Linked DNA regions of Coturnix japonica. The protein of the gene in region 6 purifies or fractionates together with the protein of the main gene of each other region. This does not show direct contact. Links are inferred from orthologs where the notes say so. Each region holds a gene or a part of one and is shown on either strand. Other genes may lie near its edges.

Evidence for each region.
Region 1: the proteins of AURKA (region 6) and ARFGAP1 purify together in Homo sapiens (affinity purification with mass spectrometry; 3 studies listed by BioGRID and IntAct, counting the BioPlex papers as one, with this or other methods). This does not show direct contact. The link is inferred for Coturnix japonica from reciprocal best matches to the Homo sapiens genes AURKA and ARFGAP1.
Region 2: the proteins of AURKA (region 6) and FBXW7 purify together in Homo sapiens (affinity purification with western blotting; 5 studies listed by BioGRID). This does not show direct contact. The link is inferred for Coturnix japonica from reciprocal best matches to the Homo sapiens genes AURKA and FBXW7.
Region 3: the proteins of AURKA (region 6) and DICER1 purify together in Homo sapiens (affinity purification with mass spectrometry; 4 studies listed by BioGRID and IntAct, counting the BioPlex papers as one, with this or other methods). This does not show direct contact. The link is inferred for Coturnix japonica from reciprocal best matches to the Homo sapiens genes AURKA and DICER1.
Region 4: the proteins of AURKA (region 6) and PPP6R2 purify together in Homo sapiens (affinity purification with mass spectrometry; 4 studies listed by BioGRID and IntAct, counting the BioPlex papers as one, with this or other methods). This does not show direct contact. The link is inferred for Coturnix japonica from reciprocal best matches to the Homo sapiens genes AURKA and PPP6R2.
Region 5: the proteins of AURKA (region 6) and PPP6C purify together in Homo sapiens (affinity purification with mass spectrometry; 4 studies listed by BioGRID and IntAct, with this or other methods). This does not show direct contact. The link is inferred for Coturnix japonica from reciprocal best matches to the Homo sapiens genes AURKA and PPP6C.
Region 7: the proteins of AURKA (region 6) and MTMR3 purify together in Homo sapiens (affinity purification with mass spectrometry; 3 studies listed by BioGRID and IntAct, counting the BioPlex papers as one, with this or other methods). This does not show direct contact. The link is inferred for Coturnix japonica from reciprocal best matches to the Homo sapiens genes AURKA and MTMR3.

What each region holds. Positions count from the first base shown.
Region 1 is NC_029535.1:7,887,193-7,890,549, reverse strand, and holds part of ARFGAP1 (ADP-ribosylation factor GTPase-activating protein 1), read right to left. Parts: intron 3,007-3,357; coding exon 2,947-3,006; intron 1,852-2,946; coding exon 1,775-1,851; intron 1,327-1,774; coding exon 972-1,326; 3' UTR 1-971. UniProt on the Homo sapiens protein: GTPase-activating protein (GAP) for the ADP ribosylation factor 1 (ARF1). Involved in membrane trafficking and /or vesicle transport.
Region 2 is NC_029519.1:29,730,621-29,734,120, forward strand, and holds part of FBXW7 (F-box/WD repeat-containing protein 7), read right to left. Parts: intron 1,808-3,500; coding exon 1,597-1,807; intron 609-1,596; coding exon 340-608; 3' UTR 1-339. UniProt on the Homo sapiens protein: Substrate recognition component of a SCF (SKP1-CUL1-F-box protein) E3 ubiquitin-protein ligase complex which mediates the ubiquitination and subsequent proteasomal degradation of target proteins.
Region 3 is NC_029520.1:41,567,211-41,570,710, forward strand, and holds part of DICER1 (endoribonuclease Dicer), read right to left. Parts: intron 1,018-3,500; coding exon 135-1,017; intron 1-134. UniProt on the Homo sapiens protein: Double-stranded RNA (dsRNA) endoribonuclease playing a central role in short dsRNA-mediated post-transcriptional gene silencing.
Region 4 is NC_029516.1:601,906-605,405, forward strand, and holds part of PPP6R2 (serine/threonine-protein phosphatase 6 regulatory subunit 2), read left to right. Parts: intron 1-422; coding exon 423-536; intron 537-1,497; coding exon 1,498-1,624; intron 1,625-2,814; coding exon 2,815-2,967; intron 2,968-3,201; coding exon 3,202-3,405; intron 3,406-3,500. UniProt on the Homo sapiens protein: Regulatory subunit of protein phosphatase 6 (PP6). May function as a scaffolding PP6 subunit. Involved in the PP6-mediated dephosphorylation of NFKBIE opposing its degradation in response to TNF-alpha.
Region 5 is NC_029532.1:8,073,149-8,077,302, forward strand, and holds the start of PPP6C (serine/threonine-protein phosphatase 6 catalytic subunit), read right to left. Parts: upstream 2,801-4,154; 5' UTR 2,741-2,800; coding exon 2,666-2,740; intron 2,456-2,665; coding exon 2,360-2,455; intron 2,274-2,359; coding exon 2,208-2,273; intron 1,902-2,207; coding exon 1,760-1,901; intron 881-1,759; coding exon 801-880; intron 660-800; coding exon 450-659; intron 1-449. Other genes in the region: RABEPK (rab9 effector protein with kelch motifs), read left to right, coding at 2,906-2,964, 3,040-3,185, 3,285-3,437, 3,558-3,719, 4,081-4,154.
Region 6 is NC_029535.1:10,854,595-10,858,725, reverse strand, and holds the start of AURKA (aurora kinase A), read right to left. Parts: upstream 2,801-4,131; 5' UTR 2,691-2,800; exon of another isoform or gene 2,682-2,690; intron 2,483-2,681; exon of another isoform or gene 2,396-2,482; intron 2,144-2,395; 5' UTR 2,113-2,143; coding exon 2,059-2,112; intron 1,190-2,058; coding exon 904-1,189; intron 327-903; coding exon 248-326; intron 1-247. Other genes in the region: CSTF1 (cleavage stimulation factor subunit 1), read left to right, coding at 3,327-3,455, 4,039-4,131. UniProt on the Homo sapiens protein: Mitotic serine/threonine kinase that contributes to the regulation of cell cycle progression.
Region 7 is NC_029530.1:9,814,988-9,819,045, forward strand, and holds the start of MTMR3 (myotubularin-related protein 3), read right to left. Parts: upstream 2,801-4,058; 5' UTR 2,550-2,800; intron 2,096-2,549; exon of another isoform or gene 2,052-2,095; intron 1-2,051. UniProt on the Homo sapiens protein: Lipid phosphatase that specifically dephosphorylates the D-3 position of phosphatidylinositol 3-phosphate and phosphatidylinositol 3,5-bisphosphate, generating phosphatidylinositol and phosphatidylinositol 5-phosphate.

The DNA.
Region 1 (3,357 bases), about 3.0 Mb from region 6:
CATATTTTCCATGCATTTTTTCTTACTGGAATCTTTTTACTAACTCATTTCACTGCTGAGTTGCCAAACAGATGTCCAGAAGGCCATAAGCAGCAGGAAGATCTCATTTTTGTCAGTATAGATAACACAGATAGGTATAAGAAAAAAAAGATAAAAAAATAAAACAAAGCAGACCCTACAAAATACTTAGAGCGGGAGAAGGGTAAAGGCAAAGAAGGAGGACAGACAGCACTGCATCACATCTGTGTAAGAGAGCTGCTATTCTTGCTTGATGGGTTAAGAATTTACACAGTGCACAAGGAGCCATTCTGAATATCCCTTGATAGCTCAGGCTGCCAAAATGATGAGTGGGAACAGATAATCGTCTACCTCCAGACTCCTGATTAATTCTAAGGGGAGAAAATAAATCTAAAAATCTCACAAAGATTAAAAACAAAGCTCCAATAAAAAGTACCTTACAGACCAGTTTGAATTGCCAGACCTCGTACAGTCACAGCAATCCATAAGGCATTTCAGCTGGATCTACTCAACTGCAGCTTGTTCGTTTAAAGGCTGCCTTTTCAAGATACAGCCTGTTCTTTATTTGTGTTAAACATCTCTGGTCATCTCAAATAATATGAAGGCTGGATGAATACCTATGAGCTTACACATGCAAGACTATGGCATTAAAACGTGCTCGTGTCTTTCAGATCGCTCTTAAAGTCAGTGTACCCAGCCTCAGTAGTGCAAGGAGAAGATATATTTCTCACTACCCATAAAAACGAGAGAACCATCTTCATGTAATAAAAGATTCAGACACTACTTGTTTTTTCTTCCTAGACTGGGGCAGAAGGAAAACAAATGGAAAAAGCACAGAAAGTAACACATCAGTAAAGTCAACCAAGATACTCCAGATGGGTGCAAAACTTTCTCCTCTCAATCAGCCAGTGTGGTCTCCCTTTCCTAGCTGCACCAAAACAAAGTTAACAGTTCTACCAGTCATCCCACTTATCATCAGCTGAAGATGCCTTTTTTGTTGCCTTAGAAGGTTTTTTGGCCTTGCTCTCCCCTCCTGTGTTTTCCCAGTTGGTCTCCCAGTTTTCCCAACTGTCGCTGTTACTGTTCTTGTTGTTGGAGACTGTTCCTGAGCCCCACACGTCCCAGCTATCGGAGCTCTTCTTCTCTGTGGAATTGTCCACATAGGTCCAGCTCTCACTGCTTGGAGATTTATGAGCTTTCGGTGGCTCTGAGTTGCCAAAGGTCTCCCAGAAGCTTTGATCTACAGCATTGTTCTGGTAGCCCTCCTCTCCACTGTTCTGGTAGCTGCATCCCTCAGCTGGTCTGTTACTGGCAAGGCAAGGAGAAAGAAGAAGGGAGAAATAAATTAGTTATAACAAACACAACAATAAACAGGAACGACCACAAGGAAAACAATAATGTTACGCTTTGCTGAAACAAAAACAAAAGGCAAAAGAATTTGATGCATTTCTCAGAACAGCACTATTTATTCTTCTAATTCAAATGTAGTGCTAACAGTCTACAATACAAAGACATTGATGCATTTGGCATCACTTAAACATCAAGGTGCAGAGCACTACTTTGCTCTCAGACTGAGAACAGCTTTATGGGCCCCCAAACTACTTTAGAGAAGGACTACTTGCAATTTTATCCCCCCAAAGACAGAATAATTTCTTCACATTTACAAAGAATATCTGGTACTCTGCACTGCAGAGAACACGGAGGGGACAAAATGAGGTGTTTAAAGAGACAGAAAATAATAACAAAAAAGAAATACCTTTCAGAATGATCATCTGGTTTCCCAGAAAAGAAAGTGGTGACATCTCGCCATCCCTTACTCCCAACTCCCTGAACCTAGGCAGAAAGAACACACTTCTCATCTGGACTGAGCCAACATAACCCATTCTCCCACTTGTTCAGATACAGATAACACACTATGAAAAATTTCACTACACTGATTAAAATTAACACTTTTGATGAGCAATTTCTAGTTGATCCAAAGGAAAGGCGTTTAACAACCCCACTCTGCTGGATGAGAAGTACATAAAGTTCAGCATTTTAATCTACTTCTTTAAGAAAGGGCTTTTGTATGTATTGCCTTCTAGAACTCCGTAACAAAAATGTTGGGAATACTCACGTGAAACTGAATTTAATGACAGCACTACTCTTTGGATGCTTCACATGACTAGTATTGACATCTCTAATACTTAATACACTGCTTTCACTCATTCTTACTAGTATTATTCATGCGAACAGGACAAATGTTGAGTTCTAGAGCAAGTATGGCTAACTGACCACTCTCAGGGTTATTATTTTGGACTGGCATTTAGTTAGAAACACAAGTGACACCTATGGAAGTCACTATTCTAAGTCACAGACATGGAGGAGGAACCCCAGAACTCAGATTTCAAGTTGCCAGGCTTTAAGCAGACCAAGTAACACAAAACTTGCTTTATTCAAATATTCCCAGCACTTCAGGCACTGAGCTGTTATATGATAAGATCTGAAGCACTTAATAGACAAACAAACCCTCCTAAGTAACACTGATTCTGCAAGACTTCTGCACCTAGCAGGCACAGAGAGCACTTACCACAAAACCAAGCAACGATTGCAAAAGAAGACAAAGAAAAAGGTATGCAACGTTAGTTAAGTTCAACCACACAAACACAATGCAAGCTGTCTCCATATTCTCCAGCAGAGGTTTTCTTTGTGTGTTCAGGACATTGGTTGTCTCACAGCCCTACAACGTGCCCTCAGTGAAGCCATTAAAGGACTGCATCAAAGCTGTAGAGCTCTTTTAGTACCCCAAATACTGCAGGTTGGAAATTGCATTTCTATTCACCGCAAGTAGAGACTAAAGAAGTTTAGTGGTCATTCAAAGTGCTGTATAAGAATATGGAGACTGGCTTACTGCTTGGCCTCCTCCAAGGGAAGCAGGCCCCTCCATACCTTGCTGGCCAACTGCGATACCCCCACGGTGACCTCCTCAAAAATTTTCCCCTCTTTCACCTAATGAATCAAAGTATTGGTCATTAGTCACCGAAAAGGGCACTGCTGAAGCCTTAAGACAAGTTTTCTTGTGGTATCAGCTAGTAACAAGAAATGAACGAGCACAAAAACCTGACGTGAATCACAGTAACCCTAAGTCAGGGCTAACAAGTTTAAGATACGAATAATAACCCATTAAGATAATACAAAATCCATTGGTCTCCAGTGGAACAGATCTCAGCCCTTTGAAATACAATGAAATGCTCTATGGGCAAACAGAACCTGAGGAAAGCAGTGTTACACTAACACTGAAAAACAAAAAAAACTAAAAGCACTAAAAACAAAGACACTCCCCCAAAGTTTTGCCCTAAA
Region 2 (3,500 bases), on a different chromosome or scaffold from region 6:
ACCTGGTTTCATTTCAGAAGTTTTGCAAAGCTGCCCCGGTCGAAGGTGTTGCCATTTTATGTGACGAGACAGCGAATGCCTCTCTTGTCAGTTAGAGTTTGTTATCGTTGTCTTCTCCTTCGTAGTCTGTAGGTCTTTAGGATCTGTTGCCCCAAGCCAACATCCTGCACCACCAAGGACAAGGGATTTTTTTTTTCCTTTTTCTTTTTTTTTTTTTTTTTTTTTTTTTTTTTTTTTTTTTTTTTTTTTTTTTTTTTTTTCTTCTTTTATTTTTTTTTCTCAGGGCGAGGGAAAGGAGAACATCGCCTACACGTTTGGACAAATTCATCTTTCTGCCCTTCACTTCATATCCACGTCAAAGTCCAACACCAGCAGCTTTGTTTCCTCAGTCCCGTTCCGGCTCCCAACGGCACACACCAGCTTTGTGTTGGAAGCTCTGATCCGCCACACGACGCCTCCGCTTCCCCCGCTCTCCAATGTAACTAGATTTCGGATAAATTCACCCGTTTTCAAGTCCCAAAGTTTTACAGTCCCATCATCTGAGCTGGTAATTACAAAGTTCTTGTTGAACTGTAAACAGGTCACAGCGCTCTGATGCTTGTTGGGACCTAGAAGAGCAAACCAGAACATTTTTGTTTCTAACGGGAAAGCAGTGACAGACAGCGCTGTATATAATGTAAATACCCATCCACTTGAGCACAGCTGTTTCTCTTAGATGTGTTATCCCTGTTTTTGTGCTTTAAAAGGTACAGAACCTTGCCTTCTGTTTTCAAAGCGTGAAATTCCCCCAAAATACTTCTTTGTTACAGTGATCTTGTTTTGTTGCATACGCACAGCAGGACAAGTGCATACTTGGAAATTCATGAGAATGAACTTAGCCATGCAGAAATGAGGTGACCACAATGCATGTTTTTCTCCAAGTCCCTTTGAAGTGTTATTATGGGATTACTCTACCAGTAAGTACTGAGGGACATACAGATACATATAAACTGTTAAAACAGCAGCCTGCTTTTCCAGTGAAGTTTAACTTTCTGCTGCAGCCAGCATTGCTGGATATGATAAATGACTTTTTCTGAAGAGGGAACAAAATAACATGCTGGTGTGCATGATGCGTCAGTGGCAACTGTAAAAATGGAAACCAAAATCTTTCTTCTCACTGAGAAAGTGAAAACATCTTCCACTCTCTTCCAATCTTTTCTTTTGATTTATTGCAATAGACAGTGTGCTTTTGCCTCCCAATCCAATTAATCAGTAGGCTCTGAAACATCCAAGTGACCCCTAAATAAAACGTTGACTGGCTGTTTTGAGATGTCATTTCCTACATATTTCTGTGGCTTATTAGGCTAATACACTCATTGCAAATTTCTCTCGGTTCAGGCCATCTGCCTTTCATAATAGGCAAGTGATTTGAATAGATTAGATGAAATTCCTCTAATTCAGAGGAAGATCATACAGCTGTCATCAGAAAAATGATATTTAAGTTGTAAATGGTCCACGATTGTTTCTTTGTATGAAATGGTTAGAAGGTTTTATATAGGATCTGCAGCACAGATTACTGCAGGCAGCTTGATTTCTATCATGGTAGTTTAAGCTCACCTTGCAATGTCTGTAAACATTGTCCTGTTTTAATGTCCCAGATTTTGACTGTAGAATCAGCGTTCCCAGACACAAGTATATTGTCCTTAAGTTCCATTCCACTTGTCAAAGACTGGTGGCCTGTGAGTGTGTGAATGCAGTTTCCGGTCTCCACATCCCAAACTCGGATGGACGTGTCAAGAGATCCACTCACCACATGGATACCATCGAACTACAAGAAAGGTAAATCTGTTATAAACGATTATATTAGGATCTTACAATGCTCTCTATGAAGGCGGGGCTATTAAGCATTTAATTCACTAAAGTTAACATTAGGTATGTGTAATATATTTGGAAATTGCATTTCAGTCTTCATAGATATATGGCTGTGCTTGATACAGGAGCTGGTGATTCATGGCAGTGTCATTTCCAGTTGTGAACACAACCTATGGGGTACTCAGCCTGAAGAGGAGGGCACTGGACCACTGGTCTTTCAAATAAAATACAACTCTTAAAAAGAACAGAATCCTGTCTGCTGCAGCATACAGCACTAAGAGGCTGTTGTTGTCCTAATAAATAAGTTAACAGCCAAACCTGCTTTTCCACAAGTCAGAGGGACTTTAAGCTGGAGAAAAGAAATAACAGACATAAAAACAATACAGGAAAATAGAAGGAAAGAAATTGAAAAATGCTGGGTCAAACATTTTGTCGGCGTAATCATGTGCAACAAGGAACTTTTTAACTTCCTACTCACTGCTGGGAAAAGTAGATATGCTGACTCAGATGTTCAGATTCTGGATTTTCTGGGCATGTACCAAGATACAAAGTAAAAATATGTAGAAGATGAACACACAGAGAAATCAGCGAAGAGATTGGATACTTCTGACCAAGAGATGAAACATGTAGAGGATATGGAGATGAAAAGTAACCTGAGTGAGAGCGATGACGCCATGAGTCAGGGTTCCCACAAAAGGAAGGAAAAAGAGTGGAAGAATAAAAACAGAGGGCTTCAAGGAGGAATACTTAATAAACTGAGACTTCCTTCCCATGAGGTTTTTATGCATCTCTAAGGAGAAGAAGAGTTCAGGAGAGCTGGCACCTTCTTAGAGAAACAAACTATCCTTGTTTGAGGGAAAGATAGGAAATGCAGTAAATTACCAAGACCTACTTGGTTGAAGTATAGGGAATTGTATAAAAGAAGAAATGAGATCAACAGAAGTGTACAAAGGAGTACGCTGGGACAAAATCAGAAAAGCAGAGCGCAAAACAAGACGGAACTAACAAGAGCTGTCACAGATGGTAAAAAGGCCATTTTGGTTAATTAATTAAAAAAAAAAAAAAAAAAAAAAAAGGAAGGAAGGAGAAAAGATTTTTTAGAAGCTTGTTTAAGCTGATTGAGAAGAGAAAGAAACACCAGATGAGGCTATTTAAGGCTATTTAAGTTTTCTTTTTGCTTCAGTCCTCAGCCATCTGAGTGTAGGCTAACACCAGTGACAACTGATACGAACTTCCACTAGAATGGAGAAAATGCACACGTACAGCAAAGTTGTTTGAAGACAATCCTAGAGACATCTGATGCTATTTTGAGATGTCATGGAAGACAGACAAGGCTTCAGATGGCAGGTACCATTTCTCTCTTTATTCAAGGATGGGAGACTGGAGAATTGTGGATTGGTCAGCATAACTTTAATTTGCAGAATAAACTAACAAATAATACTTGGTGCAGGGACACTATCAGTTCAGTTCACAATGTAGTTCACAGACAATTTAGACATATCAGTAAGAGCTCTGGGTGTCTCGCACTTAGTATTTTCATTAGGATTAGTGGGACATTCCAAATGGTAGAACCTGACGCAAAGTGAAGCATGTAAAAGAGAGAGTTATGAAGATCTGAGCTTGGCCAAGAATACATAAGGGTAAAACTG
Region 3 (3,500 bases), on a different chromosome or scaffold from region 6:
CCTTTTATTTAAAAAAAAATAAAAATATGAATAATCATTAAGATATAGCTTCAACAAGTACTCCCCTTCTAAATCAGATTACCTATCTTACATTTATTATGCAAGAGAAAACACTTTTCATTAAGGGAACTTACCAGTAATGGTATTATAATGGTACGAGGCATGAGTAAATGCCTGAAGAAGATACGCCTTGTTCTTAAAACTGTAATTAATTTTCTTCTCAAAGTTTTCAAAACCAGAAATAAGGTGATTCAGGGTTTTTTCAGCATCTGGGTGATCAAACATACACCTTGGTGGGATCTTCAAACAACCATACTCCAGGTCTTTATAAAGAGAAGGCTCTGAATTAACTATACAAGTAGAAACAGAGTTTGGTGAAAGATTCTTCAGCTCACTGTTACAGTTCTCTCCAGTCGCACACAGAGTGCTTTCCCAATCAGTCTTTTTAATAACAGGGAGCACCTTCAGCCCCAGTGAACACAGGAAAAGCTGAGCAGCTCTTTCACCACAGCTGGTCAGGTAGCAGCCCAACAGGGCTTCCACACAGTCTGCAATGCTTTTGTCAGCAATACACTGCTCTGTATGCAAATCATATGAGATTGACTGCTTTCCTGCATCAACACCACAGTTTTCTTCTGATGGATTCCAGAAGCCGACTACAAAATCATCCTCTTCAACAGCCTTGCTAGGATCCAAATAGCACATAGCATCCCAAGAGCTATAGTCAAAATCATCAAAATCTGATGAAAACGGAACGTTACCCAGGGATGACTTTTTGGGTGCTTTCCATTCATAGTTTGAATCAGTGGTTGAAAAATGAGAGAGAGAAATTTTCTTCACAAAAGCCCCCGATCCCATTAACATGCTATCTATGAATTTGATATGCTCTTGATCATACTCCAAAAAATCATCTTCAAAGTCTGTTTCTTCCTTGGGCAACCTCCACATTAGGTCTTCATCTTCTTCATCATCATCATCATAGTCAAGTTTACCATTAGCCAACAAATTCTCCTTTGTCTATGAAAGAACACACAAAAAAAAAATCATGCTACTGAAGAGGAAAATAGTATTTTATTCTATAATTGTCATAAGAATAGGATATGAGTAGTATATGCTAATAAGCCTGACTTTTTTAGTTGATAGTATATTGTCTAATCAGATACACAATATAACCTCAATTAATACTAGCATTCTAAGTCTAGAATAATTGTCTTGGAATACACTACTACAGGTTAAGTAATAAAGGTTTTGTATGTTTTACATACCACACATGGTATGTTTCATAGGAACTCATGCTGATATTTTTATTCAGTGCACACAAAACTGACTTATAAAAAAACACTAAGTGCATATTTGTATGTTGAAAACTAAACAGCCTCTTAAACTCTAAGCGCTCCAATAATCATTACATAAAGCAGCAAAATATATTTATTTATGCTCTCAAATACAGTTGAGTTGCAAATAACTTGTAGTCTACTCAGCAAACGAATTAAAATTTAGTCAGAGTAGGCAATTCTTATAGACCAAAAGAAGAGTCTAATAACAGATTGGCAAGAATTAAATGCACGTGTGGGACACTGTTCTAATCGTCTGTGATAGGAGTTCAGTAAGTGATCTGCTTAGAAGCAGAAGAAAAACAAATTAATAACATGTAATTTTAACACATATGAAACCTCTCCAGCTTCTCAAATGTTTTGCATCACCAAGACTACAATAGAGAATGTCTAAGAATGGAAAAGCAGATAAATGACACAGTTACGCAACACAGAATTTTGTTTGGTACTTAACAGCAACCTGCACATTAAATCATTATATAGAATAATGATGCAGTGCAAAGGCAACCAGTATTAATCCTATTCTTTAGGCAAGTGCATAGCTTTTTTTTTTTTTTTTTTTTGCAGACTATACCCGTAACTTGTTTAATTAAATTTACATTTGTCACCGTTTTTAATACATAATCATATATCCACAACAATAAAAGTAATGATGTCTCATATCTTTTCTCTCCTCACATGGAACAAATTGGTGCATGCTGAAGTAAATTGTAAATTGAACACAGATATGTCCAAGAGATACGATGCTGTACAATTTGCTGTGGCCCCAATCCAGGAAAGCACTTTAACATATTAACTAAATGCATAAGTAGCCGTTCCTATATCAAAAGGACTATTCACAGGCTCAACCCAGCATCACTGATGTCAATGGGAATTCTGCCACTGAATTTGATCGGAGCAAGATCAGATTCAAAGTGCTTTTCTGGATTGGATCTTGAAAGCCAACACCATTTTGAATCAAGTGAAACAGCCTATATCTGCCCTCAATCTATGTATGGTATGCTGTAGTCTGTATCTGCCCCCAGTCTATGTATGTAGTCTATAGCTGTAGTCTCAGCTATCTAATCTTGCGAATCTGTGAACCAGATGCTAAAAACTGGGGACCCCTCTATTTGGGCCAAATATACAAGTCCTGAGAGCTGTGGATGTTCAGCTATAGGGTGCACCCACCAGGAAACCCCTGAAACCACCCACTGACCAACTGGATCAGAACGTTCCTCAACATAATGTGACAGCCCTAGCCAGGTCTAGGAAAGGCGGTGGAACAGAGAGGGAATGGCTATAGAAACTCACAACCCAGCTATATTTTACCAAAAAAGTTCTGCTGTTGTAAATACCCATTTCATGTGTCCAAAGCAGGGATTTCACTAACTTTAATTGTTCAGTGAAAATTGCAACGTTTGAATAAGTATTTATTCTAGACACTAGTAGCAGTGCAAGTTTTCTAACCACCTAGAACTAGAGCTAACTTCTTATCAAATATCACCTGTCCCACCTGCCATTAAAACACAAATGAGAAGCGTTCATTTAAGAGTTCAGTGACCGTCCTTGCAAATATTTATAAAACGATAAACTGCATTTTTTTGCTGCAATTTCATTCACAAGTTAAATAACTCTAAGAAACAGGACAGCTAAGTAACCTACCCTAACACCGCCTGCACATTGCCTCTCACACTACAAAAACAGAAAAAAAGAAAAAAATTAAGTGATGAGAATGCTTGGTAATTAAATGAGTCAGGATATAATTCTGACAGTTGTTTTTTCATTAGTTCAGAAATAATAAGAAAATTAACCCCGAAAGAGATTATTATTATTTTTTTTCTTAAAGAACATAAAATTAACTTCGAATAAGTTATGACCACAAGCTAAATAAAACTACATTGTTGGTTTTTTCCTCCTTGCTGTTTGGAAATTTGCTATTTGATAAATTAAAACCATTCTGCTACAGGAAATATCTTAATGTTTGATAACGTAATAATACCAACTTTTATTAGGATGTTTCAACAATAATTTGTCATAGTGAAATGAGATTTCTAGATCCATAGATAAACAATGAGATTTAAATCTAAGATCACGAGGAATCTAGTCTGCCACTTGGCATATAAAACTCTTTATTTTGGTCTGAAATTGATAATTTTGGTTTACAAACAAATAGGGAAAGAAGAA
Region 4 (3,500 bases), on a different chromosome or scaffold from region 6:
TCACTTAAGACCACCGGGAGCCACGGTTGGAATCACACAGCCCTCGTGTTCATCCCGCCTTGATTTAATCACACACAGCAGATATAGCAGGGAGAAAAGTGGGGCCTTTGCCCTGTGTTTGTCATTTCAGGTGGCCTTTGAATGTCAAATTCATGTTTAAATGCTTGTAAAGTCCATTATTGTCATTCATTGTCACTCCAGCATTGGTCAGTACTGCACTTGGGGGTCTCAGCCCTCACACTGTTAGAGTTTGGAAGGCAGCTTCCCTTGCTTTAAAGGCTCAAAGAGGTGGTGAAAGGCTTCGGATCATTCAAGAAGGTGGAAGCTAAGACTTAATAACAAGAAAACCCAGAAATGGGTATTTTTATGATTAAAAGCAGCTGTTGAATGTGACTAATAACCCAAATGCGTCTGCCCGACAGGCAGGAATGTGTGGAGCAACTCCTGAAGAATATGTTTGATGGAGAGCAGACTGAGAACTGCATCGTGAATGGGACGCAGGTTCTGCTGACATTGCTGGAGACGAGGCGCTCTGGGTAAGTCAACACGCTTCGATCCTGAATAGAAGGGTTTTAGCTATTCAAATCTGGTTTGTAATGAAGGATATAGCAAAGGTGAAGGTCTGGGGAGGGAGATGCTGAGAATCTCGCTTTCTTCTTTTAAAGGAGGAAATAGGAAGAGTGAAGGAGGCGATGGGAGGTTGGGGAGGGTTAGAGGGAGGAACTGACAGGAGATGGTGTTGGGTCGTTGTTAGGCAGCTGTGCATGGTTCATAGAATGGCCTGGGTTGCAAAGGCCCACAATGATCATCCCATTCCAACCCCCTGCTATGTGCAGGGTCACCCACCAGGCTGCCCAGAGCCACGTCCAGCCTGGCTTTAAATGCCTGCAGGGCTGGGGCATCCACAACCTCCTTGGGCAACCAGTGCATCACCACCCTGGGTTATGGCTGAAAAGCTGAGATGCTGCATCTCCTGTGCCTTGTGCCCTGCATCTCCGAGGGCTAATGACTTCCAGATATAGAGGTGCCCGTGTAGGTTGTTGGTGCTTTGCTTCAGTGCAAGCATTTCTCTTATTCCAATGTGAGACTGTGCTGTTAGAAGGGTCTGCTGATAATGCACTGCTAACCAGCAGAGGTGTGAGCCCAACTGCCCCCTTAGTATTATAGTGCACTCATTAGTGGCTTTAACAAACATTCAGTGGCACAATTTACTCCTTAAACATCTGTAAAGCTGGTAAGCACTGTAGTAATTCATCTTTGTCAGCCCCGCAGACAGCTTCTCCTCTGCCTTCCCACTCATTCACAATTATGATGATGTGAATATCATCTTGCAATTAACATAATGAGATGATGATGTAGTTACCTTCCGTGGCTGTCAGTGATCGTTCTTCACGTTCAGAGTTCTCTTTCAAGAGGAAATAGCCGATATGGGCAGTGTGAGTGGAGACCTATATGAGGTTTGGCCAAGCCCTGATTTGCGTGTTTTCTTTGTTGCAGGGTGGAAGGACTGATGGACTCATACACTCAGGGATTTGAAAGGTCTTACACTGTCAATAGCAGCATCTTACACGGCATTGAACCCAGGCTAAAAGATTTCCACCAGCTGCTGCTCAGCCCTCCCAAGGTAACGTGGCTCAGCCTTCCCCAGGAGCAAACAGCTGCTGGATGGATGGGGGGGGATTCCTCATCCTTATTTATGGGTTTTGTGAGGACTTTCTGAAAGCACCAAGTGTTGGCAAGGCAAACTCTACCTTAAATCTTTACAAGAAGGATTCACGCTTCAGGTTTGTAATACGAGTGCTTAGGAAGTTCAGGCAAAGTGTGAGGTTTTGGCAATTTGGATGGAGGAATCCCAGGTATATATAGAGACTGGGAGGAGCAGAGCTTGAGAGCAGCCCTGCAGAGAAGGAGCTGGGGGTGCTGGTGGCTGGAGAACTGAGCAGCAGCCAGCAGGGTGCTATTACAGCTTGGAGAGCAAATGGCATCATGGGCTCCATCAGCAGAGGGTAGGGCCAGCAGGGACAGGGAGGGATTGTCCCTCTCTGCTCTGCCCCATCTGCAGCTCTGCATCCAGGTGTGGACCCCTAATGTCCCCAAGATGGACAGGGAGCTGTTGGGAAGGGTCCATTGGAAGCCACAAAGATGCTCAGAGGGCTGCAGCACCTCCCCTACAAAGACAGGCTAGGGAGCTGGGGTGTGTTTCAGCATGGAGAAGAGAAGGCTGCGGGGTGACCTCATTGCAGCCTGCCAGGACCTGAAGGGAGCCTACAGACAGGAGGGGAGTCAGCTCTTTGAATGGGGGGATAACAGCAGGACAAGGGGAAATGGTTTGGAGTGGAAGGAGGGAAGATTGAGGTTGGATGTGGGGGGATATTGTTGATAGAGAGTGTTGGGTGCTGGACCAGCTGCCAGAGAGGATGTGGATGCCCCGTCCATCCCTGGAGGTGTTTAGTGCCAGGTTGGATGGGGCCCTGGGCAGCCTGGGCTGCTGTTCATTGTGGAGGTTGGTGGCCCTGCATGTAGCGGGGGGTTGGAGCTTCATGATCCTTGTGGTCCCTTCCAACCCAACCATGCTGTGGGTGAGGGGGGCACAGAGGAGGGAACACAGAGTCAATGGGTGTTTTGATCTTATGTTTGGGAAGTTCAGACCTCACAGCGCTCTCAGGTCACTGCTGAGTGGGAAGACACCATAGTTTTGCCTGCATGGAGTATTTATGTCTGAAGATGAGATGGTTCTATTTAATCAACCAGTTGTATGTCTGCAATGGGGGATTCATTGACCTTCACTGAGGTTCTCCACCATTTCTCCTATAGAAAACAGCGATCCTGACCACAATTGGAGTCCTGGAGGAGCCGCTGGGCAACGCTCGTCTTCACGGCTCTCGCCTGATCGCTGCTCTGCTCCACACAAACACTCCCAGTATTAATCAGGAACTATGCAGACTCAGTACCATGGATTTATTACTTGTGAGTAACACTATGTGGCACTGCAGGGGGTGGGGGTGGGGAATGGCTTCAGGCTGAGAGTGTCTTCGCTTTCCCTGTTGGGCACAGTGTGGTTTGTGTGCAGGTCACGTTATGTCCATATCCTACTAAAGGATACCAAGCAATTAATAGGGCAATGTTCTGACATCATTTGATTGCCAGAAGTGGGATGATGGATCCAGAATGACTTTCTTCTTGTTTCTCTTTTTGTTCCAGGATTTATTTTTTAAATACACGTGGAATAACTTTTTGCATTTCCAAGTGGAATTGTCCATAGCAGCTATTCTCTCACACTCTGTGCAAGAGGGAAGAACTACTGCCAATGACCCAGAAAGCAGAGAAGAGGTGCTGAATGGAAACGTGACCACAGAGAACCAAGAAACTCCAGAGAACAACACGGAGAATATCATGGTTACACATGTGAGTCAGGTCACATCGGCAGGGAATTCAGAATCATAGAATGGCCCAGGTTGGAAGGGACCTCAAGGATAACAAAGCTCCAACAGCCCATCACA
Region 5 (4,154 bases), on a different chromosome or scaffold from region 6:
GCCTGCACTGCCCACGCCTTTCAATCCCTCCTGAATATGCTGCAGAGGAGCAGAGAACAACACACTGCATGAGGCAGGGATTCATCTTAGGGCCGGTTCAGAAGCCTGGGAAGTTCAGTGGGTCTGAGCCTCTTACTATGTTGCAAAGTAACAAAAATTAAGTCAAAGCTAGTATTTCTTCTTCCAAATCATTAGACAAGTATTCTACACAAAGCCTAGTAATTCTAGTTAGTCTCACTGCATTACACTTTTTAAACACAAGGTGTGCATTATCTCACTTGGCACTTTATGAGGGGAAAAGAGTATGTCACGAGAAAACCTCCCTCACCTCCACACCAACTCAGTCCCCTCACAAGGGAAGTTCCTTAATCCACTCGTCACTACAGTAAAGTCAAACACTTCATCTCACACCTGCAATTATGGGACGCAGCACAGGACGGCATCGTTACCTCATTTGTCACCTTAGCACCAAACAGCCAACCCGCCCCTCGCGGACTGATGGCCCACGTATCCACATCTTCTGGATCAGACCAAACCAGGTCACAGAAGGCGCCTTTATGAGGAATTTCTTGATTACGTTCAATGGTGCGAATCTGATCGAGTGTCTTGATGTCCGGAGACAATCCACCGTGCACACAGAGAATCTGCTCATCTATTAGCTGGAGAGAAAAAGGAACACAAAGAATGCTCAGTATTTCAACCAAACCAAGAACCTCTCCAGCACCACCCTCACCACCACCAATTCTTCAAGTTATATTTAGACAATCTACCTGTATCTTTTTTAAGGTGTTTACACTTACAGCTGCTATTGTGAGCATGTCAAAGACTTTGGTGCAGTATCTCCAAGCATTAGCATTTCCGTATTTGGTTTGGCACTCATCTGTTAAATAGAGAATTTTTTTCTTCTTAACAGACCAGAAGGAATTCAGGCAATATGATCAGAGTCAAACAGAACAGAACCTAAAAAGGCAGATGTAAACCAAAAAGCAAACAGACAAATAAAAAACAGCTGGGAGCAACCGGTGAGCACTGGCTGGAAAGCACTGCTCACTGCTTCTGTGGTCCACCAGCAGGGAGAGAACCTCAGTATCTACTGCTGTGTCTTCAGCAACAGACAGAGGAAAAAGCAACACGACAGACAGCACCTCAGCATCTTCCCACCACTGACTGCCTGGGAACAGCCCCCCTGCTCACCCAGCAGTGTTTATACTCTACATTTCATGCAAGAGAAGTGAGGCAGAAACAGTGAACCCATCAGGGCTAATTAGAGACCTTTTCACTACAAATAAGTGTTACAGTAGCTTTGTTTGTAGCTATACAAACACATCAATAAAACTGATGGACAAATTTTACTTTGGAGCTTCACGAGGCTTACAAATGTTTATATATGCTCTTGTTGACACACTATATCATGTTATCCAGAAGAAAGCAAATTACAGCCTATATATGACAATGCTTTTCTCAGTTATACCTAAAGAGAATTATGTAGAATCTTTTATTTAAAGATACCAAAGCATATCATCAAAAAATGCAAAGAAAAACTGAGATGCTGGAGGAAAAGATGGTCTGGAGATGGACTAAAACGCTTTTACTTCTTGAACACAACAGTGTTAAATAACATTTGAGACCGTTTCCCACCCAGTTCAAGTAAAGCCCCACTTAACAGTGCACACACAAAGCCGATTTCAAAAGGGAAATAGGAGGTAGTTGTTGATGGCATGCTGGCCCCCATTCAGAAATCACTTGGGTAAAGTCTTACCATAGAATCCATACACTTGTGTTATCTGCCTGCTTTCATGATTGCCTCGTAACAGCGTGATACGATCGGGCCATTTAGCTTTTAGTGCCAGAAGGTAAGTGAAAGTCTCAAGACTATAGTAACCTCTATCTACAAAATCGCCCTGCAAAGTCAAAACAGAATTATGAATGAAGAAACAGCAAAAAGGAGAAATGCAAAGTGACACATCCACCTTTAACTCCTCATTGCACAAAGGAACCTGACGCTGAAGGGAGCCAAGCGGTGAGAACGAGCTCAGCTCCCCAGCAATGGTTCACTCACCCCTGCACGGGACGCCCGGCTCTGCCCGCCCTGCAGCCGGGGGCAGCACAGGGGTGGGAGGGCAGAGCGCTGCCACCAGGGCCGGCACCCAGCGCAGAACCGGGACCAACACGGCGCGAGGAGCAAAGCGGCACCGGCACGTACATACCATGAAGATGTAGTTGGTGTCGGGCACCTGCCCGCCGGTCCGGAACAGCTCGCACAGGTCATAGAACTGCGGGAAGGGGCACGAGTCAGCGCGGGCGGCGGCACCGGGCACCGCGGGGCGTCCCGGCCGAGCAGCGCGGCGTGTCCCGTTACCTGCCCGTGGATGTCCCCGCACACGGTGACGGGCGTGGAGACGGGCTGCACGTTGGACTCCTCCAGCAGCAGGTCGCACACGTAGTCACACAGGCGCTGCGGGAACACGGCGGGTAGCGCCACCAGCAGCGCCGGGGTGTGCACCAGCACCACCAACAGCACCGGACAGTATCGCTATCGCTATCGCTATCGCCATCGCCATCGCTATCACTATCGCTATCACTATCGCTATCGCCATCGCTACTACAACCACCGGCACCGTCCACCGCCGCCCGTCCGACCCCGCCCCCCCCCGCCCGGTCCCACCTTGAGGTCGTTCTCGGGCAGGTACTTGCAGAGCCGAGCGATCTCCACGTACTTGTCCAGGTCCAGCGGCGCCATCTTGGGACGGCAGCTCGGAGCCGGAAACGGAGCTCTCCACTTCCGGGAAGCGGCGCGAGACTCGGACGCCAGCGGAACTTCCGCGAACTTCCGGCCGCGCACCGGAAGTTGGCGGCGGCCGGAGCCGTGTGGGGCGGGCGGAGCTCGGCCCGGCCCGGTCCCGCCATGGGGCCGCTGCTGCCGCCGCTGCTGGAGCCGGGCAGCCGCCCGCGGGCGGGCAAGTGGTGAGCGGGGGGCGGGGCGGCGCGGTCCCGGCCGGCTCTCGGCCTCGGCTGAGCGCCGCCCGTCGCTTCCCGCAGGTACCGGCTGGCCCCGCGCGGTGAATGGCCCCGCGGGCGCGTGGGTCACGGCTGCGTGCTGGTACCGGGCGGGTCGGGCCGCGTGCTGCTCCTGGGCGGCGCCGACCCCGCGGGCGCTTTCGCGGACGCGCACTTCGTGGAGCTGGGTGAGGGTCGGGTCGGACCGGGCGGAGCCGCTGCCGTTCCCCGTTAACAGCCCCCGCTGCCGCCGCCGTTCCCCGCTAACGGCCCCGCCCCGCCCGCAGACACACACCGCTGGGCCCCGGCTGCCTGGAGCGGGCTGCGGCCGCGCTACGAGCACGCCACGTTCCTGCCCGCCCGCCTTCCGACGCGACTCTGGGTGTTCGGCGGCGCGCACCCGGCCGGGAACCGGAGCTGCGTCCAAGTGCTGGACCCCGGTGAGTGCCGGCACCTCGTCGGATGCCGGACCTCGGTGGAGCGGGTGTCGGGCCGGGCCGGCGGTGCGGAGCGGCCCTTCAGACCTCGTGTATGCTTTATTAATTGAATGTCTTAATTAGAAATAGGAACCTGGGAGAGTCCCGAGGTGACGGGTGTTCCGCCACTGCCCAGGACATTCCACACCTCCTCAGCAGCTCTAGGGACCTGTCTGTACGTCTTCGGAGGTGGAGACAAAGGAGCGGAGCCGGTTAAAGACCAGCAGCTTCATGTCTTTGACACAGGTACCTGAGTGTGTCGTGAGCTGTACCGGCACTGGAAGTAACCGCCCGCTGTTCTGAAGTTCTGCCTCCCAGATCTCATCAGCCTTGGCTGCGAGTTTCAATGGAGGGCTGAAGGTTGCTGAGGGCTGAAGGTTGCTGCTGACATGTGCTCACCTCTGTATTGCAATGGGGAACTTGGGCCAAAGTGGCAGTATAATGATTTGGGACAGGAAATGCTGTGAGACTTCTCATGACCTGTTGGTATTATTCTGTCTGTTCCTATAGTCCTGCATACCCCAGGAGGGAACCCCAGCGAGACTCGGGGGCTGCTGGTTTGTAGAGCTGACAGTTTTCCTCATACACACACATTCCCATTTTTCAGATGCTTTGACATGGACCCAGCCTGGCACCCACGGTGACCCCCCTTCTCCTCGGCACGGACATGTCATAGTTGCA
Region 6 (4,131 bases):
AAGTTGCTCCTTTTTGTGCCAAAAGCTTTCCTTCAGATTAAAGTAATTTATTGTTCCTAAAGATTACCAAAGCAAAGTAACCCTTCCCAGAGTTTCATTAATAAACATTGTCTCTATGAAGGCCACTGTTCTTAGCAATCAAGAGGCTTAAGTAGGCAGCAGCTTGGCTGCAACTCAGTTGTAGCATGAACTGCTAGACATTGAAAGCACAACTAACAGCTGTAAGTTTTTAAGGCCCGCAACTTACTTTTTAGTGTCTTCCTTTTTCTTTTTAGTAGGCTCTTCACTTTTCTGTTTAGAGACACTGTCTGCTTCAGAACTCTTTGCTGTATACAATCAAATAGAACAACTATAAACCACCAGCGAATGCAAAACATTCACAAGGAATAAGTCTGGGTAGTATCTACAGCAATTTACTGTCTATCCTCTGTATTTAAAACCTAGCATAGCTTACCAGTGGCAAAGCAGCAAAGCAGTTAGAGCTACTTTATCAAAGTGTAACTTCAAATGCTTTTTTGAAACTCATGAAAACATTAAGAAGTCTTCTCCCTCCTGCTCATACAGTGTTCTTGTGTATCAGATTACCATGAACACTGGAAAAAAACATGATGCAGGGATACCAATTGCATGTATTCAAAGTTGACTAATGAGCATCTGTAAATTTTCAAGACTGGAGGAACACTTCTATTAGCTCCTCTAAATCCTTAACTCTAGCAACAAGGACAGTACAGTAATATCTAAGATGAAGTATGTGCTGCTTTTCTCTTTCTGGGTGCAACCATCTATTCTTCTACAGGACTGTCCAACATGTCGTTAGTGTGAGCTTTACATTTTCTGTCCTGCACTCTTGTTTGAATTCTCCTGAGTGTCACAAACACAGAAATGTATCATCTTTGGAATTACCAGGTCCAGGAGCTTGTTGAGGTTTTTCACTGCTCTTGCTTGGAACCTGAGGCCCAGCAGTTGGCTGGACTGGAAGTTTTGGTCGGGGCTGCTGTGTTGTCTGATTGTTAGACAGTTTTTGGTTTGACAGTGAAGAATTTTTTTGTGATTGTACAGGAACTCGCTGGGCAAAATTTGCAGGACACAGAACACGTTGCAGTTGAACTCCACTGTTCAGTGGCTGGCTCTGGGCAGAACTCTGAGACACAGGGACACGTTTTGGGCCATCCACAACTGGATTCGCTGCCTTCAAAAAACAACAACTGCACATTAGTAATAGAATAGAACACTATAACCTTTATGTCCCTGTACAACAGTGTTAGGTACAGGTTGCAGAAAAAGATAGGGAGGAGAAAAAAAACCAGTATATTAAAAGAAGATGTTAAAATTACTCTGATCTTATTTTTTAAGAATTGAATTGACTTGTAGAAAACTACTGTCTTATTAACAACATACTTATTCATAACTAGACACAGAGCCACCAAAGTGTAGATAACAGTGGAAAGCTCAGACCAGCCTTTACTATAGGAATCCTGTTCACATACAATGCTTTGAGTCACTGTTCCCTTGAGTGATGTGTATTTTAAGATGCCTTGCGCTACTACAGGAGTTCATCAGAACAAAGCCAAGTTTAGGATAGTTCCTTTACCTACTTTTAATCCTTTTCTTTCAGTCGAGGAAGGAAATTTAAACTAATATTTAAGTAATGCTTAGTTGCTCTAGAATTAAATTCAAATGCTAATGATCTGTTACTGATGCCTTCACTCTCTAGGAAGACTTATATTCTCCTTTTTTTTTTGATCCAATGCATTGAAAGCTGATTTTAAACCATGCTTCTACTACTTTAAAACCTGACAAGGACCTGTTTATACTTAAATTAGAAGAAAAGAATGTCCGTGCTTCTGTATACAAAGATATGTAATCTTAAGGCATGCACAAAGATATACAACATTCAGGCAGCACGTCCTTTGCAAGTCACAGCCTGTATGTTTTTGCTGTCTTATTAGTTGATTAGGGATAAAAACTGCACTACTAGGACTTCCCAATTAAATAATTGGATGTTAATAACAGCAGCCAGAAGCTCAGTCACCCCCATCAACTCGATAAGCCTCTCACCTTAATAACACGAGAAGGGTTCCCAGGACAGTTCTCTTTTATCTTCTTGTCCATAGTGCCCGAGAAAAGCAAGATACACTTTCACCTATGGAGAATGAAACAGAGAACAGGGCTGAGCCTCCAAGCAGCGCCACTCCTCGGACGTGCTGCTCTCCCTTTGCCCCCTAGGCCTCACTTTAGGCCTCCCCCTAGGCCTGCCCGCCCCAGCTCCGTAACGGCCGGGCCGTACCCACACCACACGCCGGCTGGGCCGCCCTCGAGGCAGGTAAGGCCGCAGGTAAGGCCACAGCACAGCACCACGCGAGGCCCGACCCGGCCCAGCCGTCCCCACACTCACCTCGGCCCGCGGCCGCTACAACTGTTTGAATTCAAACCTCCCTCCCTTAAATAGCCTTTAAAATTCCGCCCCCTCGCCATTGGCTCCTCTCCTGGCATCCGCGCCCTCCGATTGGCCGCTTTTCAGTCTACCTGCCTTCCCATTGGCTCTCCTGACTCCCCGCTCGTCGCGAGGCCTAGACTCGTCGCCGTGAGCTTGCGGTGCGCATGCGCAACGGCGGCCCGCTGCGTACCCGCGTCGTCCCGACCCGCCCACCCTTTGGGCGGCGTTTACGTTACATACGTACTTTACGTACCGTCTGTCCGCCGCTTGTTTCTTCCGTACTCCAAGTGCGTGGATCGAGCTCACACACTTTCTCTCCGTAAGTCTCAGCCCGGCCGCGGTCTCTCGTTACGCAAATCGCGTTACGTCCAGCCCACCCACCTGTGGCAGCGCTACAACTCCCGCTCAACGAGGCCTCGGGGGTGAAGGGCTCCAGGTTAGTGCTGCATCCAGCCGGGCTCACACCTCGATCCTCCTCAGCGTCACCTGGGGCTGAGGGAGACGCGGCGCTGCCACCTCGCGTGAAGCCGAGTGGGAGCTGGGGGCCATTGTGTGCTGAGGTGCGACGGGCAGCAGCAGGAGGAGCATCAGGCCTCAGCTTCGCACGGCGCTGCTCCACGTGCCCTTAACGAGCCTTAAGGGGGCACCAACCCAGCTCAGCACGAGGGGACGCCCGGCTGTTGGCTGCACAGCGCCCGGTGCTGCTCGTGCATTGCGGAGCGGCTCGTGGTGCTGCTCTGTCTCACAGCACTGAGGGACCCGCTGCCTGAAGAAGCGATTGAAGGTATTGAAGGCAACTTATCAGCGGCTCCGCGTCCTTAACGACCCGGCTCGAGGGCGGTCCCGGTGTGTTGGTGTCGACAAGCGGGACACCATAGGGAAAAAGAAGATGTCCGGTCGTCGCGTGGCTGCAGCGTGTGACCGACGGCAGCTGCCGCGGGGCATGGGGAGTATGGGGAGCATGGCAGCTCCGCTGCTCGACCCGCGGCCGCTACGGCTGCCGTTTCTGGAGGCTGACGTGAGTAGCACGGGGCTGTGGGTTGGGTGGCGGTGGGACATGGAAGGGGCTGAGCTGGCTGAGCTGGCGGCCCTAAACACTCGTGAGGCCTGTGTGCCGTGGTGCCCCATGGCAGGTGTTGCGGTGTCCGGCAGCACCGTGCGGGTATTGTAGCCCAAACACAGACTCGCAGCCCCCAGCTGCGGTGCTCATAGCAGCTCTACGCTCCGATGGGCAGCACGGGGCGGTACTGGGCAACCTGATCTAGTAAAGGTGTATGTTTGGTGGCCCTGCCAGGCAGGGGGGTTGGAACTACGTGATCCTTGAGGTCCCTTCCAACCCGGGTCATTCTGTGTGTCTACGGGCCGCCTGGGCCTGCTCGAGGCTGTGCCCTGCCCGACACGTCACCCCACGGGCTGCAACCGGGTCCGAGCCACGGTGGAGGGGGCGTTGGATCCCGGGATCCCCGCTGGGCTCCGCTCTGCAGCCCGCCCCTTCCCCACCGGGCGGGGGGTCCTTTAACAAGGCAGGGGTCCTGTTAGAGCGGCCCGTCGCGTCCTTAACGCGTCACCGGTGACGTGACGCCGCCGTTCTCTCCCCTAAGAGTCGGCTCCAATCGATGTGCGGGCGCTCGATGCAGCAGCCCTCGCGGAGGAGCGTTCTTCGGTCTCGGCCGCCGCCGCCGCCTCCTCCTTTA
Region 7 (4,058 bases), on a different chromosome or scaffold from region 6:
TCTGTATTTCAAATCCTAAATTAGCACTAAATTCCCTTTCATATCTTCCATGCAAACTGCTCAGTCACCCTGTGATCTCACAGCTCCACAAAGATAAAGGAACAGCTGTCTTTAAAAACCTCCGTTAATCACAAGAATGATCTGCACGTTAGGCATATTCCCAAAGCTTTCCTAAAAGCACTGGAAAGTTATGGCACTAATATCTAGAAGGATAGAATTACAAAGGAAGCTCATGTCCCAGAGACATAAAACCCATATGGGACCTAATAGGCAGATCTTTACCAGCTACTTCAGCTGGGTACACATGCAGAACAGTTGTACATTACAGCAAAGAGGCACAGACAATTCAGTGCTTGGAAGCTCATCCTGAAAGAAACAATTCATATTATTTGATCTGGTTAATAGAAGTAGCTATGAAATAAGATCACATTCAATTATTTGGGATTTCCATTCTAGCTCACAGTAACTGATAAGCACTGTTGTACTCTTTGCAGTCATAGGCTCTAACAAACAACCAGCACCAAACAGAAGAGTCCCATGATCATACCCAGCTACACAACCCCATGCAGAGCTACCAGAACAGGAACAACCTTTTATCTTCCACAGCAGAAAAGACCCCACATGCTGGATGCTAACCCAGCTCCTCCAATTCACTCCACAGACAATGACTCCTTCCTTGCACTCCAGCAGATTTATCAGGCTCCTTCCCAGCTCTCCAGCAGCCCACTGATACTCTTCTCCTTACGTTACTCCATTTGGACACATTAATTGTCAGCCAAGCACTGCTCAGATCTCCTACTACTGAAGGGCTGACAACACACTTCTCTCCACCACCCTGCACAGCATGTAGGTGGAACGAGATCTCAGATAAAGTGCTGTGCTCTCTACCTTCAGGAGCTTGGACACGCTGCATTTCTGGTTCCTTCTGGTGCAGACAGCCATTTTAATGGGAAAATCAAGAGCTTATCAAGCTGGCCTTGCCGATGGTTTCTTAAGCAGGCTAACACTTGGCTAATTTCTAGTTCAGACAGTTAATGGCAGGACATTAGCAAAATCCTAAATAAGCACCAATAATACTACCAGCCAGAAAACTAACTTGTCTCAAGATATCACTCCTATAATCTTTAGGACTCAAAGACCTTTGGGCACAGTTGCCAACAAACCTGCTGCTTAACATTTTCCCTGCCCACCTGCCTCTCCCCCAACTCCAAAGCAAGCACAGAGAAACCTCTCAGTGCAGCATTTCAGAAGCCTATGCCCCACCTTTACTTATCTGACAATGATTTCAACACTCTGAGCTCACAGCATTTCCTGTACTACGAAAGAAAGTACTTGTTCTGTCTTCTAAAAACCACTATGATCACTAATGCAAAGCAACACAGATACTAGATGTCACATCTCCTCTACCTATAAACTCACTCATACAAGCTCCCCTTCATCCTCTACCACAAAGGATTTTCAGTACTACAACAGGTTTTACTAACAGACCAGACGCACCCTCAGCCCTTTATCTAAAGCTTCAAACATGGCAGGTATTGCACAAAACCTGCCACAGCTCCCTCAGTCACACAACCATCCCCTGTCAATGGGCAATTAAAATAGTCTTTTATTCCCACCATAAAGTCAATCATCACTCCATGCTACTCCATGTGATTCTCTAGACAAACTCTGCTAAGAAAAAGCTTCACTGCACATGGCAACATGGGCTCAGCACACCAGAAAACAGGCAGGTGAAGTGCACAGACAGGAGAGAAGCAGGTACCAGATGTTCAGCCTGTGCGAGGCACAAGCTTGTGCCCAGCCCTCACCCAGTAAGGGAGGGGTGCAAGGAATGAAACAGCCATGGAATCATGGAATGGTCTGGGTTGCAAAGGGCCATAATGATCATCAGTTACTTCTACAGAGAGATGCAAAGGAATCTGAGGTTGGTAAAGCAGCATTCCCTAAAAGGAGGGACAACGCAACTACAACGCAAACCTTGAGCTTCCCTTAAAACACAGAAACTTCAGCACGGTTTGGGGTCAGGAGGGTTGGCATGGAACCGTACTCACCAGAGAAGGGCAACATCTGTTCAAATCCCACCAGAGGAACGGGACTGTTAAGAAAAACACGGGGAAGAAGCTCGATTAAAGCCCCCACGCACCGTAAGCAATAGAAAAGCCCTGACAACCTCGTTAGTGGGAGCACAGACCCAAGCAGCTGTACGCAACCGATATGGGCTGAGCTCGGGGCCGGGACAGCAGGCAACGCGGGGTACGGGCACACAGAGGCGGCCACGGGGCACGGCCAGAGCCCGGCGCGGCCCTGCACCGTCACCTTCCCGAGGCCGCCGGGCCCCGTGGGGAGAAAGAGGAGACCGAGCTCCACACGGAGCCCCGCACCGAGCCCCGAGCCCCCGGCCGAGGGAGCGCAGCGCAGCCGCCCCAGCTGAGGGGGCGTGCCGGGCCGCGGCCCTCCGTGACAGCCCGGCCGCCCTCCGCCAGGCCCCGGCCCAACGCATCCCCCCACGCGGCGCCGAACCCCTTCACGGACCCTCAGCGGCTCCTCACCTCGGGGCCAGGCATGGCGCGGAGCCCCCACACCCCGTCCCGGGGCGCGGCGTCCTGCCTTGGGCCGGGGTCGCCGGGCTCCTGGCTGCCGCCGCCGCCGCTTTTCAGCACAACATGGCGGCCGCACGGGACGCGGGCACGGCGAGACGAGCGCGCTCCCGACGCCGCCTGCCTCCCCCCAGCGGGGCGGTGCCGGCCGCCTCCTGTCAGGTGACGGGGCCGGGAGCCGCCTCCTGCCGGGCCCTCAGCCCTCCTACAGGGGAGGAGTTCGTCTCTATCCCCCTTTATAACCCTGTGGGCCTTTTAAGTGCTGGCTGGATGTGCTGTTGTGACGTCGGAGCCCTAAGATGGCCGTGACCCCTGAGGTAACCGAGCCCCCCCAGGTGACTGCAGCTGCCTTGGGGTGATGGGAGCCATGGTGGTCCTAACCCCACAGGAGCTCTTGGAGCTACATACCCAACTGGAAACCCATTGCCTGTGTGCTGCCATTGCTTCTGTGCCATTTTGGGCCTTGGCTACAAGGATTCATGTGGCCCCTTGCTGTCTGTAAATGTGCTGGACAAATCGCCTTGAGCAGCTTGCAGCTCCTCCATGAAGTAATGGAGAACAGCGAGCCAGAAAGTGCACAGCAGTGGGGAGAAAAGTGATAAAGCAGAAGGAACAAGAGTGCAGATCGGCTTAAAGGCACTGCAGAATGGCAGCCATGTGCAGGTGGCATGGAGCGCTTGCAGGCCCGTATCTGGGTCTTGTTGCGAACGTGCTGGGTTGTCAATGCTTTATTTTTATACGTCTCTTTAATTTACAGTGCACTATGTAGGTCAGGTTGTGCTTTTGAGAGATATTTCCACCTGCTCATGTTTGCCTTGGTCTGGAATGAAGTTACACTAACTATAAAATGTGCTCCTAAATTATCCTCAGGGCTCTCCCTCTGAGTCCAAAGCTAGTCATTGGAGCAGATGGGCTCCGGTCTGTCATTAAGCCGTGCTGAAGCTGGAAGTGGCATTAGAACGAACAACACAAATGCAGGATCCCGTGTCTTTAAGCTCAGATAGAAGCCACACGGTGAGTTGTTTGCTAGTTTGCTCCCTTGGTTGGGGCCAGAAAACATTTGAAAGGAAGTTAATGAGCCCCTCTGAAGGGACTTTTTCCAACAACAAGCCATCATCTGAATGTAAATGCGGCCTGAAAGTCAATATGTACCTTCTGGGGAAATTTAGGAGAAATACAGGTAACTGAAGGGAAAAACAGGATTCCTGGCCTGTTTATACCCAAAATCAATGAAAAACTGTTCTGTCAGTATGGCTGCATTTCTGAAGGGCAGGTGTTGGCAGCATTAGGAAGCAGAATATGACTTTTGAAGGCTCCCTGTTAAGCAGTTACCTCTGCAGTGTGCCTGGAAGGAGATCAAATGTGACCTACTTCAGGAAACTGAATCCTGGAGACCCAGGGCTTCGGTACAGCGTAACCTGCTGGTTGCTCCCTCTGCATTTAGGGACGGGAGCAAGCTGG